Linked DNA regions of Pelodiscus sinensis. The protein of the gene in region 2 interacts with the protein of the main gene of each other region in a pairwise test. Links are inferred from orthologs where the notes say so. Each region holds a gene or a part of one and is shown on either strand. Other genes may lie near its edges.

Region 1 (8,096 bases), on a different chromosome or scaffold from region 2:
CCTAGTTCGAACTAAGCGCTCCGCTAGTTCGATTTAAATTCGAACTAGAGGAGCGCTAGTGTAGCGCCTATGAATGTTAGTTTGAACTAACATTGTAGTGTAGACATACCCTTACAGAGTTTAAAAAGAAGTTAGATAAAGTCATGGATGTTGGGTCTATGGAGTGCTATTAGCCAGAGGGTAGGAACGGTGTCCCTGGCCTCTGTTTGTGGAAGGCTGGAGATGGATGGCATGAGACAAATGGCTTGGTCATTGTTTTCGGTCCATCCCCTCCGGGGCAGCTGGTGTTGGCCACAGTCGGCAGACAGGCTACTGGGCTAGATGGACCTTTGGTCTGACCCAGTACGGCCATTCTTATGTTCTTATGTTGTAAGCTCAGGGCTCAGGGTCGGGGGTCTCACTGGACCAACTTGATTTTCATGCAAACCTGCTCCTGGGTTCGCATGTGGCCTTTGGTGGCCAGGCTGGCAGCTATCCTGCCCTAGATGGCTGCTTTCCTGTGCCAAGTGCGGAGGTCGTGGACGATGGAGGCCTCCCCCCAAACCTGGATGAAGTCCACGATCTCCGCACTAGACCAGGCGGGTGCCCGCCTCTCGCGGACCCAGGCAGGCTCCGGAGGGTTGGGTGGCAGCGGGTGGCTGGCTTGTGCCCTGCCAGGTGCAGGGTCTGCTGGCTGGGTGCTGGCAGGCTTGCACCTGGCACGGGCACCGTAGCCAGACCGTGCCCCTTTAAGGGCTCCAGGGCCAGGAGGGGGGCAGAAGAGTTACCCTGGTTGTGGCCAGAGTGGCCACCAGGGCAAGCTGGGAAGGGCTAGCCTCCCACTAGTTCGAATTAAGTGGCTACACAGCCCTTTATTCAAACTACTTAATTCGAACTAGGCGTTAGTCCTCGCAGAATGAGGTTTACCTAGTTCGAATTAAGCACGCCGCCAGTTCCAATTAAGTTCAAACTAGCGATGTGCATGTGTAGCCCCTATTAAAGTTAATTCAAACTAACGGCTGTTAGTTCAAATCAACTTTGTAGTGTAGACATACCCTCCCTCTCACAGGCCTTGGGGGACAGGCCAATCCTCACTTACAGACAACGCTGTAACCTCACGCAGCACACTTCTATCATACTGATCCAGGAGCCAACCCCTGCAATCAACCCCGGGGCCAACCCTGTCCTTACATCTATACAGGCAATATTATCACAGGACCTAACCACGTAAACCACCACATCAGAAGCTCATACAACTGCACATCCACTAATGTGATCTATGCCATCAAGTGCCAGCAATGCCTCTTGGCCATGTATATTGGCCAAACTGAACCGTCTCTACAAGAAAAAATTAATGGACATAAATCAGACATCTGAAAAAGGGAACACACAAAAACTATTCGGGAACATTTTAACTTGCCTCAGCACTCATTAATGGATCTCAAAGTCACCGTATTATTTCAAAACAATTTTAAAAGCCAGCTTGACAGGGAAGCTTAATTTCATTTAAAAGTTTGATTCCTACAACAGAAATCTAAACAAAAACGTTGGCTGGATGGCCCGCTACATTCCACATCCTAATGACAAAAAAAAAAAAAAGGTACTTAGAGTGGGTACTAAGTATTCTTATCAGCTTCATTTAGCATGGACATGTTGACAATTTCTTTCCCCTTTTTCCTCCTCTTCTCCCCTCCACATCCCCTCTCTGTGTTATTTATTTGAAAACTGGACCCCTTAAACTCCATTCATCTGAAGAAGCGGATTGTGCCCACAAAAGTTTATGGTACCATCTACATTTTTTGTTAGTCTCTAAGGGTATGTCTAGACTACATGGCTCTGGGTAGATTAGTTTACTAGACATACCCAAATGAAGCGGCGATTTAAATAATCGCCGCTTCATTTAAATTAAAATGGCTGCCGCGCTGAGCCGATCAGCTGTTTGTCGGCTCAGCGCACTAGTCTGGACGCTCCACGGTCGACATCAAAGGCATTTGTCGACCGCTCCGGTAAACCTCATCCCACGAGGCATAACGGGGCGGTTGACAAATGCCTTTGATGTCGACTGCGGAGCGTCCAGACTAGTGCGCTGAGCCAACAAACAGCTGATCGGCTCAGTGCGGCAGCCATTTTACTTTAAATGAAGCGGCGATTGTTTAAATCGCCGCTTCATTTGTATATGTCTAGTAAACTAATCTACATGACTCTGGCGACAGAGCCATGTAGTCTAGACACACCCTAAGGTGCTGCAAGACTATTCCTTGTTTTTTTAAGTTTTTCCAGTTACAGACTAACACGGCTACCCCTCTGAAAATCCTGACACCTGCTCATGGACTCCTAGCAGGCCTCGCACCTCCCAATTGAGAACTGCTACAATCAATAGTAGGACCATATTTCCCAAAGGAAAAATGAGACATAGCCCAGAGCTGGTATGAGCTCTCCCCACCTCAGCATGGGGCTGGTTCAAGCCACTTGACCCTCTCCATGAGGCTGGGTTGCTGAAACCCTGTCTACTCATCTCCCTCCTCATCATGAATCTTGGCACTTCATGAGGGACTGGCATCACTGCTCATTCTCCTCCCACACACACACACACAAACACTCATTCCTCTACACTGCACCCCACTTTTTGACAAAAGTTGGCATTTGATCAGATGGCAAAAGCAAACCGGACAAAAGCCCACTGTTGCCAAAAAAGTCAGAATGATCAGGACATGGCTAAAAAAGGGGACTGTCTCAGCCAAAATAGAAAATATAACCATCGTAGCGATTAAAGTATTGCCTCTCCTTAAAATCCTTAAGTATTGCATCCTTAAAATCCTGCTAAGACCAACACAGCTACAATAACACTGCAAACGATGGTGAGAAGAGACATTCCTGCTCAAGAAGCTAATGGCACTAAGAACTCAGTCAGTATTCATTACATCATTTTGTGAACTGGATAAAACAGATATTTGTATTACCTGATTTAAACCTGAGAACAAGTTGCCAAATGCATAGTATCCAAAGCACTACGGTCACTGTCCCAAAAATAATCACAATCAACGCTCTGCTGTCCCAGTGAAAGGAAGGCATTTTGTGTATGCCCTAAGCATGCTCAACTATAATATATTTTTAATTCACTTCCTTGTGATGGATAAACTATTAACTACTTTTCTCATCGTCAAGGCTAGAAATGTAACCCTTTCTGTTCCATTTAAGGAAATATTGAGAGGCAAAACCAGAGGCAAAATGGATGAAGGATTATCATTTATTAGACCAACTTCTGTTGGAGAGAGAGACATGCTTTCAAGCTTCCACAGAATTCTCCTTCTGGTCTGGGAAAAGAAGAAGAGCTCTGTGTAAGCTCAAAAACTTGTCTCTCTCACCAATAGAAGTTGGTCCAATAAAATATATTACCTCAGCCATCGCTCTCAGACCCCCTTTCTCTCCAAGTCCCTGATCTGCATGAATGAGTTAGACCTAGAGCCAAATGAGGAGTCTCTGTAGAAGGAACTCTGCCTGTTCCATGCATTGAGGGAGGAAGAAGCCACTCAATATATGAAGCTGCTCCAATTGTCCTACCTCAGGAGGTCAGGGAGTAGGGAAAGGCAGCCCATCCAAAGGGATTTTTCCAGGGACTGATGGATTTCCCCTTCTACTGTGCTATAAATGGTCTCAAAGAGTGAATGGTCCATCATAAATGGGTAGCAGCAGCTTCAATTAAGTGTTTAAATTTCAGGTCTTGATACCTAGCTCATTTTTTAATGTCTACATTTTTGGCCAAGTCTGAGGCTTCTTGTGACCCCTCTCCCCTGCCCCACAAAGTACTGCCCTCCTTCCTATCAGAGGGTCTGCAAACACACAGTGTGTGTGTGTGGGGGGGGGAAACCCCTAGAATGGGCAGCTCTATCAGATTTGAGCATCCAGTAAGCACTGTGTAAAGGTTAAATGGTCCAACACCAAGTCTCTGGTTTCTAAAGAAGCCCCAATTTTGCATGTTGAGGTGAAAGATATATTAGATAACACTCTGGGGCTTCACAACACTGCTGTGCAACCCCTGCAGTATTGTGAACAAACAGAGTGTGAAGCTTTAGAGAAATACTTTCCTCAGTCACTACAGTTACTTGGCCTGCTAACTTCTAGGACAGTTTCCATTTTCTTTCAACAGAATCTGTAACTTTTAGAGGGCGCAGAATGCTACCTATCCTTATCCATTGCACGTATTCCTAATCTCTAGCAGCCTCCACTACTTATCTTAAAGGAGTTGATTTATGAGTGATAACATTGTAGATCTAGAGCCAAAAGCTGCACAGAAAACGCCTACCCATATACTCTTGCATGGGGCCTTTCATGCAGGTAGGTTGAACAAGACACTGAGGCCAATTGGCCATCAGTTTCCCAGTCACCTTTTTCTTGAAGATGGGCACTACGTTCACTTTTTTCCTAGATAACAGGTATGGTACCTTTTCTGATTCACTGAAGACTGTTTCTAGAGCTTCAAGAATTCTTGCTGGTATTTTTCATCAATCTCACGTGCAATTCTTTCATACTCATCAATGTGTAATATATGATGTGGGCAGATAGAGGTCTGAGCATTGGCTTCATCCCTTTTAACCAATTATAACAAGATTCACATGCCACTCTGGCACCTCCTGCTAGTTGCCATGGCAATTAGCCCTGCACAGTAGTGTGCTCTCTTCAGGTGGTGCCTCACCACACCTCCTTTATGTCTGTTCCAGGAGTCATATCTCTCCAAGGGCTGCGACATCCTCTTCAGCAATGCAGCCCTTTGGCAGTGCCACACACTGTGCTCTCCGCATCCAAGGGGCCTGCAGTTCACCTTCTCACCACTTACTTCAGTGGCCAACTGCACTCCCTTCCTCCAGGGCCACCTCCCACCTGGCTTCAGCTCCCTCTTTGCCTTGAGTCAGGTCCTTAGCCTGCACACCTCACCAGCCAGCCAGGAGCTGTCTCTTGCTCCCTCAGTCCATGCTGGGGGGACTGCACCGTTCAAGGTGCTGGCATTTCTCTCAGCCCTCCAGAAATATAGTCCTTCCTCCTTAAGCTCTCAGGGAGAACTGACTTCCTTTGGCACCGATTGGCTGCTCTCTTCAGCTCTCTTTTGATCGGCTGCCTCCAACCTCTTTTCTGCCAGCGAAGGGCACCATCACATCAATTCATTTGGAATGTGTTCTCTTTTGTATTTCTTTAATGTTCATTCATTTTTAGTATTTGATGCTAATACCAAGAGAAATGGCCCCGTTGCACTTGGAAGCAGAGCAGCAAAGGAATCCTCAGTTCCAGCATGTGACACAAGGCCTTCAGCATGCATGGCCTTGCTGACTGACTGCACGATGAAAAAGCAAACATGATTCTGGGATGCATTAACAGGAGGGTTGTGAGCAAACCGCGAGAAGTCATTCTTCTGCTCTACTCTGCGCTGATTGGCGTCAGTTGGAGTATTGTGTCGCGTTCTGGGCACCACATTCCAAGAAAGATGTGGTAAAATTGGAGAGGGTCCAGAGAAGAGCAACAAAAATGATTATAGGTCTAAAAAACATGACCTATGAGGGAAAAGTGAAAGAATTGGGCTTGTTTAGTTTAGAAAAGAGAATACAGAGAGGGGACAGGATAGCAGTTTTCAAGTATCTGAAAATATTTAAAAAGGTGTTACAAGGAGGAGGGAGAAAAAATTGTTCTCCTTGGCTATTAGGACAAGAAGCGATGAGCTTAAATTGCAGCATGGGAGGTTTAGTTTGGACACTACAAAAAACTTCCTGTCGGGGTGGTTAATCACCGGAATAAATTGCCAGTGGTGGGGTTTGTGGAATCTCTATCACTGGAGATATTTAAGAACAGGTTAGACAAACACCTGTCAGGGATGATCTAGACAGTACTTGGTCCTGTCATGAGGGCAGGGGACTGGAATTGATGATCTCTCAAGGTCCCTTCCAGTTCTATGATCCTATGGGATGAGCAGGAAAGGTGCACATATAGCCTGCCATTCCCCTCCAACACGGTGTTTGACTCTTGGGGATTTGTGCTTTGTACAGACTCAGTGGCACTGCCTCAAAAATGCCTTCTTTCATTCCTGTAAATGGCAAGGAAAGTGCAGGAAATCAAAGCATGACTGCCATTCAGGAAGTTACCACTCAGTCAACTGTTTTTTCAGGGTACTAGAGGTGTAAAAACACACACATACACACACATACCCTTACACATTCAAGTCTTTCTAGTGAAGAGATTATGGACTTCAGCAATGAATAAATCAGTTTTATTTAAATAAAATTAGACACATCTTGTTTGTTATAAACTATTACATTTTCTTTAAAAAAAAAAGGCACCAATATTTAACAATAACTTAAGGTTTAATTAGAGCACTACCTTTTTAAAATGGTATGTTTGCAAACCTGGCAGTCTTCCAACCCTTCTTTGAATTCAAACAAATTATTGGTAAGGGAGTATCAAAGGTCCTACTTCTTTGTTAATATATAGCAGTGTTCAAAACATAACCAATCAAGACACCAGGTGAAGCTTTCTGCATTAAAAAAAAAGGTTATTCCTAAAGATATTGGTTGATTTTTATCATACTAATGTATAACAATACTAGGCAGTTTGAGAATATGTCTGAATCTTTTATATTATAGATATTATAAATATATTACAATTTTCCCTTTGCTTTTTCTTGTATTTTATCATTTTAATACCCAACATTTGTACAGAAATTCAAGCAGTCTTAAAACTTGAGGCTTTAGCATCTGTTTTTACCAAATCACATTTCTCCAAATTACAGACATTTACATCACGGCATCAAAGAGTTGTGTATGTATTGAAGTTAGTCTCTTATTTTTTTATGATTTCAAGGCAGGTATTGTACTGTAATATTTCTGGGAAAAGGGAACAGAAGCAACAGTGAAATAAAGTTTATCATTCTCTCCTTTAGTTACAGAGGGGTAGCCGTGCTATTATGTAACTTGAAAAAAACTTCAAAAACAAGTGATCCTGTAGCACCTTAGAGATGAACAAAAAGATATATAAATAGTATCACGGGCTTTTGTGAGCACAACCCATTACTTCATATAAGTCAGTGGATTTTGAGATTTCTCACCTCTTAGCAGTATCAAGCCCTATGTGTTAAAAACTACTCACTATGAACCATGAGCAGCCAGCAGGTTACTAACTTTAGAGTAGAGATAGGCCTGAGAGAAAAGATTCAGATCTGGATTATGAACATTTCAAGGTTTGGGATGCAGATGTATTCAGCTCTGGAGTTTTGGTTTAATCCATTACAGTGTTTGAGTCAGACTTGATATTAAGATTCAGTTTCTAATGCCAATGTTTGTACTTGTTGAGACGTAAGGTATAGATTCACTTTCATCTATAATGTAGAGTAATCAGATTGCCTACAAGACAGATTTGGTAAAAATAGCATGAGATAGGGGAGAAAAAAACTTAAGAGGGAAAATTACTGAACATCCTGAACACTTGAAAATCCATTTTTATTTTGGCTCTTTGTAATGCCATTTTTAGTAAAAGGAGATATTTTGTGTATAAAAGAAATGATAGGATTAGTCACAAAGGGTATGTCTACACTACCCCCCTAGTTCGAACTAGGGGGGTAATGTATGCATACCGAACTTGCTAATGAAGCCCGGGATTTGAATTTCCCGGGCTTCATTAGCATAAAGCCGGCGCCGCCATTTTTAAAAGCCGGCTAGTGCGAACCCCGTGCCGTGCGGCTACACGCGGCACGGACTAGATAGTTCGGATTAGAAGCCTAATCCGAACTATCTAGTCCGTGCCGCGTGTAGCCGCACGGCACGGGGTTCGCACTAGCCGGCTTTTAAAAATGGCGGCGCCGGCTTTATGCTAATGAAGCCCGGGAAACTCAAATCCCGGGCTTCATTAGCAAGTTCGGTATGCATACATTACCCCCCTAGTTCGAACTAGGGGGGTAGTGTAGACATACCCAAAAAGTGTTAAAAGTCAAACTTCTAAATTGGAATTCTGGAAATATCATTTCTAGAGATTTATATCTGCCCAAAGCACACATAATGTATCCAGCAAACTTGACCATCCAATTCTCAGACAACTTTATAGGTTATTCACTGAATCTAGCACAGGAGCTATCGATGTCC
Region 2 (8,036 bases):
AATCCTTTGGGGGCAAAACAAAAACTGTTTTTATTCAGGACTCTAAAAATCCTAATCTGGGTGTCTGGTGTGCACACGTATTTGACGTTAGCAATGCTATATGAATCAACAACTTTCCATTCACCCATCAAAAAAACTTCAGCAAATCAGTGGCAACCATAGTAACACTCTATTCTTTTATCAACACAATATAATTTTGCCATATTAGATTTCAAACAGAACCTATTTGAAGGTACATTATCATCAGATTGCTTAATTGGTATAAAGGAAAATATATCACTTAGTCTCCCTCCACCAACTTTCTAAGTTATTTCATTGGAGAAAGTGTTTTGTTGATGGTCAGAACAATGGGCAATTAATATAAAAGTGTACATAGTGGGATGGCATGTAGAATGAGCTAACAGATCCACTGTATCTGAAATGCACTAAGTTTGGTCCTTCTATACAGACACTGAAAGGCCCTACTTTGCTTCATACTCTTTAAATATCCCCTTCCAGAAAAGCCTTCCCAACATCTATACTTGTCTAAATAAATTTTAAGTTTACACTTAATTCTTACAGCTCCCATTCCAAAGGTGCATACTGAGCCTATTTGTTTGCTTACTCATATCCTTCCTATACACTTTGAGTAAGAATCATCATTGGACTGCAATCTCAACAACTCTGTTTATACCCTGTAAATGTTATGTGTTTTGGGCTAAAAGAGACATTTTAGGACTAGGTCAATACACATGCAATTATAAATATTAGCTTTGGTGTGACATGCATCTATGCTCATTCTACTCTTCTTGTGAGATGTGAAATATAAATACAGTGCAGTCATTCTCCAAGACCACGTACAATTTTGGGGCCTGCTACTCTGAGAGAAACTTAAACTAATAATGTTTTAACAATGTATAATCAAAAAAATCTACAATTTTGAGTGTAACTACCAAAAAAACTAAAGTAATTCCTGAGGGTTTATTTTAATTGACTAAACGGGTAGAGAATAATTCAAAGCTCTGAAATGAAAATCAGTTTGGTATAAATCTGTCTTCTCTGATAAGGTTTAAACCTTGTTGAAAAAGCATGGGCTATCTAAAGTTAGGAACACAGTTACCTTCTGTAAGGTACAAGATCACATTAGCTTTTTCTACTTGCCCATTAAAGGGTTCTACAATTAAACTTTCAAAATCTCTCAAGAAACACAAGACTGTCTCGGGACCCAAAATACTATAAATAGAAAATGAACCTGAAAATTAACACAGTTAAAAGTAAAAAGTTAAATACAAACAGAGTAAAGGATTAGCTAAAAAGTATAAGAACTGCCAATACTATTTGAACAGCTAAGGCATTTGTATTTATGCAAATAGTCTTATTTATAATTTCTCAACATTAACCGTAACAATTTTGTTTCCCAGTAAATGCTTTACCTAATAAATGTTCCACTTAATGCCCTTTGTCAATCTGTAAGCACTGAAACTTACCACATAATTATGAATACCCACCCCCTTCAGCACAACTTGTTTTTGTTTGGTTTTGGTCTTCATCTTCTAAGGAGCCTGTCTTCCTAACAACTGAATGTGCGTCTATCTACTCAGAATACCCCTCGCTATTAAAGTTAGGGTTTATCAGGAACAGTGTATTTAATCAGCTATTTTAAGGGAACGGTTTTAAGCCAAACAGAATAAGACTGCATAGCTGGAGCCATACAAATAGCTGACACATTACCAAAAAGTTAATGAACTGCCTACCGACACAATCCGAAGGTTTCACCTAAAAGTGATCTGAAATACGCCAGCGTCGTATCATCTGCCTCCCAAAAGGGTCAAACTCCATCTGGGAAAGGAGCGTGCCATAGCAGATCCTCTAGCGATACCAGCGGATGGTGCAAAATAGCACCACTCCCTCCCCGCTACTAACCATTGTTAACAGCTGGCCTCAGCCCAGCCGCAAGCAGAGCGCAGCTACGGCCAGGGCACAGATTGCAGAGCACCTGGGGACCGATCTCTCCCCACACACGCTCCATCCCCCGGACCGCTCTTCCCTGCTCCGGGGGTGGGGGGGGCGCACACGCCACAGAGGTGTCGGGGGGAGGGAGAGCTCTGGCCAGGGCAGCGATGCCAGCGCAGTCCCGGCCGATGGAGGCCGGGCGATGTGGGAAGGTTTAAGGGCCTGCGGCTCAGACGTTCCCGGCATGAGAGCGGAGGGTCCCGGCTCCCGGCCCGGCAGTATCGGCTGCTGCGGCACCTGCCGCTTCTCCCCGCAACCCAGCGGCCTGGAGCCGGAACCGGGCCCGAGGCGGCGGCGCTGGCCATGCCCGAGACACACGATTCCCTGCGGGAGCTCAAGATGGCGGCGGCGGCGGCGCCGTGTCCCGGTCACCGGCTCTGGTTCCCCACCGCGCAGGGAGACCGGTTCGGGCCCTGCCGCCGCCGCCGCGTCCCTCGGAGAAGCCGGGGCCCACGCGGGGGGCGACCCAGCCTGCCCGCGCCACCCCGCAGCCCCTCGGCACGAGGCAGCCCGGCCCGCGCGGCCCGTACCTTTGAATTTGAGGTCGGTGGGCGGATCGAGCACCAGGATCTGCTCCTGCTTCGCCAGAGTCCCAGCGGCCGCCATCTCGCTCGTTCGCTCGCTGCCTGCCGCGGGGGGAGGGGCCGGGCAGAGGCGCCGCTCGCTCGCTCACGCCGGGGAGGGGGAGCAGCAATGGGCTGGGGTCCGGACCGAGCGGCCGCCGCCTCGTTTCCCCCTCCGCGGGCGCGCGCACGCGTGCTCCTCTAGTTCCCCCCCCTTTTTTTCTGTAAGAATTGATTCACCCCCCCACACACACACGGCGGCCGCGCGCGCACTGCGATCAAACGCCAACCTCCCCCCCGGGCACGAGGGCTACGACGGCAGTGGCGGAACCCAAGTGACGCATGCGCGCGGCGTCCTCTTCTTTCTCCCTCGCTCCCGCCGCCGTCCGTTGACAGCTCGCTCGACTTGGCCTCGCGAGCCACTTATCAGTCAGTCACACACTGCCTCGGCTGAGGCAGCAGGGGGCGCGTAATCTAGACGACTCAGATCGCGAGAGCGGTTCGAGGGAAATGAAAGAAGGGCGCATGCGCACCGAATGGCGATGGAGGAAGCGGTGTTCGACGTGGCCAAAGTTCCGCTTCAGGACTATAATCCCCAGCATGCAACACTCTGATGGTGTTGGAAGCATTGCATGCTGGGAATAGTAGTCTTCAAGGGCTATATCAGTGCGCGGCACAAGGGTGGGGTGGTTGCCATTGGCTTCTCCTTAATGCGATTGATGTCTGAGAGGAAGAGAGGTGAGATCCGCCCTCTGCTGAAGGTAGAGCTGGATGGAGCAGGTTAAGCGTTTGCTTTAGGAAAAGGTTTGTAGATAGAAAAATAACCTCACTTTGCTATAGACACGTGCACTCTGGACCTCTCTGCCTTTTCAGTGGCCCAATGTAGACCAGGTTGTGCTCAGGGGGGCAAAAACTGGACTGTTTCAGTGTTGGGTTGTAAGAAGATTAGCCCCATTCATACCAAAGAGTGTCCAATATCCATGATTGAAAATGAGAAAAACAAGCCACAATTTATTTGTAGGTAGAAAGCTGGGAAATTCACTCCCTTTTCCTGACTTTAAACGTGAAATAAATTTCTACAAAGAAAATGTATTTTCCCTTTCATTCTCTCTGTTGCCTTCCCCGCTCTCCTTTCTAAGGTTTGCATTTCTACTTGTTCTTTAAAAATAATACTCTTCGTAGGTAACAAGACAAAGGATTACATTATTTACAAACAGTATAGAAGAAAATATGACCTAATCTAAAAGTTATTAAAATAATGTGAACTGTAATCCATTCAAATCTTCCCAAAGGAGATGAGGACTATACTGTACATGTTACACGTGGAGTCGATTGCTCTTTTCCCCCTCCCCTTCTCCCCTCTCCCCTCTCCATCCCTAGGTACACTGGCAGAAAATGTCTAACTAAATGAGTGGAAGGGCAGCAATGAAAATGATAGGTCCAGCAAAATTGTAACAAATATCTTGCTTGAAATCTAGTGAAAATATCATAGGAGCATTAACAGGAACAGCACAGTCATATTTCAAACAATATTTACTACTAATAATAAATATCCATCAATTAATAATTTACAATTTTTGCCCTAAGGGTTGGATATCTCACCCCAAAAGTCAATTTCCCACAAAGAAATAGGGTGACAATTCCAAATGGAAAACTGACAGCATTCCCCCCCTTCTGGGTACTGTGGTTTAGCAGGCGAGGGGGAAGGGAAGGGAGGAGGAGGCAGGGCTTAACCTAATTCCATTAAAATCAATGCAAGTTTTGACATTGACTTCCATGAGAGTAGAATTGTGTCCTATCACTAGTTCTAAGTGCTGATGAGCAAAATCGCAAAATACTCTTGTTTGGTTGTGACTATATAGTTTATGTTGGTAAGTCTGATGGTGGAGCTTCTGTATGACGTGAGCACAAGAATGATCCAGATGGTCCTAGCAAAACTATTCTGGTGCTGTGTGCTGTCCAGTACTAATTTTATATTGCTCCAAAAACAAGATTCTAAATTGTTTCCTTTTCTTTATTTATACAGGCAGTCCCCGGGTTACGTACAAGATAGGGACTGTAGGTTTGTTCTTAAGTTGAATCTGTATGTAAGTCGGAACTGGCATCCGGAACTGATCTGGAAGCGCCACGGGTCCGGCCCCGGGTCCTGCGCTGCTTTGCTCCCCGTCTCCCTGGTCTGCTGGCTCCCGCAGCAGACCAGGGAGACGGGGAGCAGCTTTTCTCGCCCCGGAGGAGGCGGGCGGCGGGACCAGGCGTCCCGCCGCTCCAGTCCTCCGGGGCGAGAAAATCCCCGTTCGTAACTGCGAATCCGACATAAGTCGGATCCGCATAACTCGGGGACTGCCTGTAGTAATACTGTATATATCAAGTTGCCTCCTGATTCATGTCTAGTGGGAGTTTTCCACTTTTTCCCTACATCCAGGATATGTCTTTCTCCCTCAGTTCTAGTTACACAAAGACTGGTAAATACAACTATCATCTCTGTCATGGTGTATTATTTTTCTCTTGTTCACATTGATTTCCCTTTTATTCTTCTTTATATTCACTAGCTCCACTGTAAGCCGTTCCAAAGAGAAAACTAGCCCCTCTTAGTCAGCTCAGAATTTTTGTCATATCACTGTCTTCTTGAAAGAGCCTCCCAATTAGTCAGATTTGTCTCTATTTGCAGAATTTTAAAGGCCTAACTTTTTAAGGACCACAAGTTGGGAATAGCTGTAAAATTTCAACTGCCACAGGCTCTTCCATTGGCATCAGTCTTCTAAGCTGAAAACTACCATTGGCACAATTAAGCCCTTCATTTTTAGTTTGGATTTAAATGGTGAAATAATGTCAGTAGTATCTCATAAAACTGTGGGCAGGATAGACATTACTGCAAATTTTTTCACAGAGCCATGAGGGCTGCATCAGGCAAATTATTGAATAGGGTAATTTGCCTATAGTCATAAATTTGAGTTTCTGATCTAAACATCCTGGTAGTTGCAGGGATACAACATGGAACTGAATAAACACTGGTAAATGGGTGTATGCTGACACAAGTCTAAGAGCAGCTGGCAACTGGGTGGGGATTTTGGGGTGATGATGGGGTATGGGTGAGTGAGTGGGTGCTGGACTAGTTAGAGGTACCAGGCTATTTATGAGTAGTGGACTTTCTTGTGTAGTGAGTATTTGCTGATTGCTAGTTGTAGGATGAATTCTGGGTCATCAGTGGCAGCTGCGGATCGCAGGGATGTTTACATGGAGCAGAAAGGCTATTAGAGATAAGAGCATTGGTGGTGCTCGTCCACTGGGTAGCATCTGAATCTGTCCTTGTGCTCAGCTTACAGGGAACACTGGTAGCAATCACCCAGCAGGAGTTGGAGGAATCGCAAGGGCTGGGTCCCATAAACAAGGATCAGGCCATTATCAGAGACCCAGAGGTCTAGAGGCAGGAGTGAGAGTCAGGTTGGAGTTGGAGACTGGGTAGGCTGGAGCAACAAAGCAGGAGAAAAGGCTGGTCACAGTCTGTGGTTACAGAATCAACTTCCTGGGTCAACCCCTGGGATTAAATGAGTGTTTGGCTAATCGTAGGACCCCAGAGTACTGTCACTCTGGATCGCCTGAGCAAGACATTCTGCTGTGCCTATAATCCATAATAGGCTATATACCTATGCATGAATTCTCAGTGGCAATGAGGGAATAGCAACTGTTCTAGGCTCCGCAGATGCAGGTTTTTGTTCTGGGCTCTTATGACTGAGGAGTGAGTGCTAAAGTATGGGACTATGCTATAGGGCTGTCAACTGCATGAGTGTTACACAAGATTTATGATACTTGGCTCTCTGCAGAGTGTTCCAAGAAGAACATGTTAAATAGGTAAAGAAAGATCCATGCATTGTATCAATTAAAGTAATAAGAAGACAAGCAGACCAGTATCAAGATAACTCAGTTGGCAATTGGAAGTCTAAGACTTTGTCTTTCCTCACTTTTTTCTTAAAATGTCTCACTTTGTTACTACTGGCTCAGCTCCACTACTATTGTAGCAATGGTGGTTAGTATTATTTTAACCATCATGTCAAGCTCTGAACAGTGTTAGATACAAGGGTTAAAATTACTGGTGCAGGAGGCCCCCGCTTTGCGACGGCCTGATTTATGACCCCCCCCCATACTTCCGACCTTTTCTGTAAGTGTGAAAGAGGCTGAAATCCCCTAACTTATGTCCTCGGCCCCGCATTTACGACAGCGTACGATGCCTGTTGTAATTGCGGACTTGAGTTATGATGCCCTTGACTTGCGACACTATCTCTGGAACCAGTCGCATCGCAAATCGGGGGCAGCTTGTAGTTGCTTTGTCAGAAAATGTTAAGGGAGTAAGTTCAGGGTGGACATAGTCTTAAGGGTGACCAGACCAAAGCTTGCAGTTCAAATAGATGGTTTGGACCAACCTTCCGACCTCCTTCATAAATTCAGAAGAGCAACTTGAGGCTAATGCTGAGTCTGAGGCAGCTAGCATGAGAGAGCTAAAACTGGAATTCGGTTCCTGCTCTTTTCACCTTAGTAGAGATGAGCAATTTGTTACACTAGAGTCTATCCAAACCAAGGGTGGGCAATAAGCACTCTGTGGGCTGGATGTGGTTTGCCAGGGTTAGCTTCTGGCAGGCTGCTGGCCATTTTATTTACCTGCATCTCCACAGGTATGACACGCACAGCTCCTGTTGGTCATGGTTCACTGTTCTTGGCCAATGGGACCTTCGGGAAATGGTGACTCATAGCGTCCATTGGCCGAGAACAGTAAATGGCGGCCAACGGAAGCTGCAAGTGAACATACCTGTGGACATGCAGATAAATAAAGCATCCAGCAATTGTCCAGGAGCTAACTGTGTCTGGCTCAAAGACCACTTATTGCCCACCACTGATCCAAATCCTCACATTTCTAACAGTAAATAAAAGCAGTATTATATAGCAAGCAAAAGACAAAGTAAATAACAGAGGGGTAGCCTTGTTAGTCTGAATCTGCAAAAGCTACGAAAAGTCCTGTGGCACCTTAGCACTTGCACCCTCTTTCAAGAGAGGGATACAAATGAAGACATTCAAAATTGCAAATGGAGCCGGGATTTAAATATCCCGCTCTTCATTTGTGTAATTGCATTATGGCGCTATTTCGAAATACAAAAAGTGGTGTAGATGCAGTTATTTCGGGAGAACGCCCTTCTTCTGAAATAACTGTTAAACCTCACTATTGTGCTATGGTAAAAATAAATAAGCATGAGAAAGACTGGTTTTAATCAGGTGCAGAAGTTGTTGGCCAGTATTAAGAATTTGCTAATAATATCTAGAAAAGGAACATTACAGGTAATATATTTGCTGTTAATTTAAAATTCAGTCAATATGTTGTGGGCCAGTGCCAAGGTTTCTGTAATTTTCCAAGTTTGGTTTGTTGCAAATGTGGTCCACGTTTGCATTTAACTAGTCATAGACTAGGCTGGCAGGTCTTGCATTTTTACCCAA

Evidence for each region. The genes of interacting proteins can lie anywhere in the genome.
Region 1: the proteins of VAPA (region 2) and ADGRG7 interact in binary tests that used the Homo sapiens proteins (3 or more experiments, as listed by UniProt). The two-hybrid records come from large-scale screens. The link is inferred for Pelodiscus sinensis from reciprocal best matches to the Homo sapiens genes VAPA and ADGRG7.

The regions. Positions count from the first base shown.
Region 1 is NC_134711.1:150,957,573-150,965,668, reverse strand, and holds the start of ADGRG7 (adhesion G-protein coupled receptor G7), read right to left. Parts: upstream 3,096-8,096; 5' UTR 3,052-3,095; coding exon 2,940-3,051; intron 1-2,939. UniProt on the Homo sapiens protein: Orphan receptor.
Region 2 is NC_134712.1:85,505,097-85,513,132, reverse strand, and holds the start of VAPA (vesicle-associated membrane protein-associated protein A), read right to left. Parts: upstream 3,037-8,036; 5' UTR 2,599-3,036; coding exon 2,523-2,598; intron 1-2,522. UniProt on the Homo sapiens protein: Endoplasmic reticulum (ER)-anchored protein that mediates the formation of contact sites between the ER and endosomes via interaction with FFAT motif-containing proteins such as STARD3 or WDR44.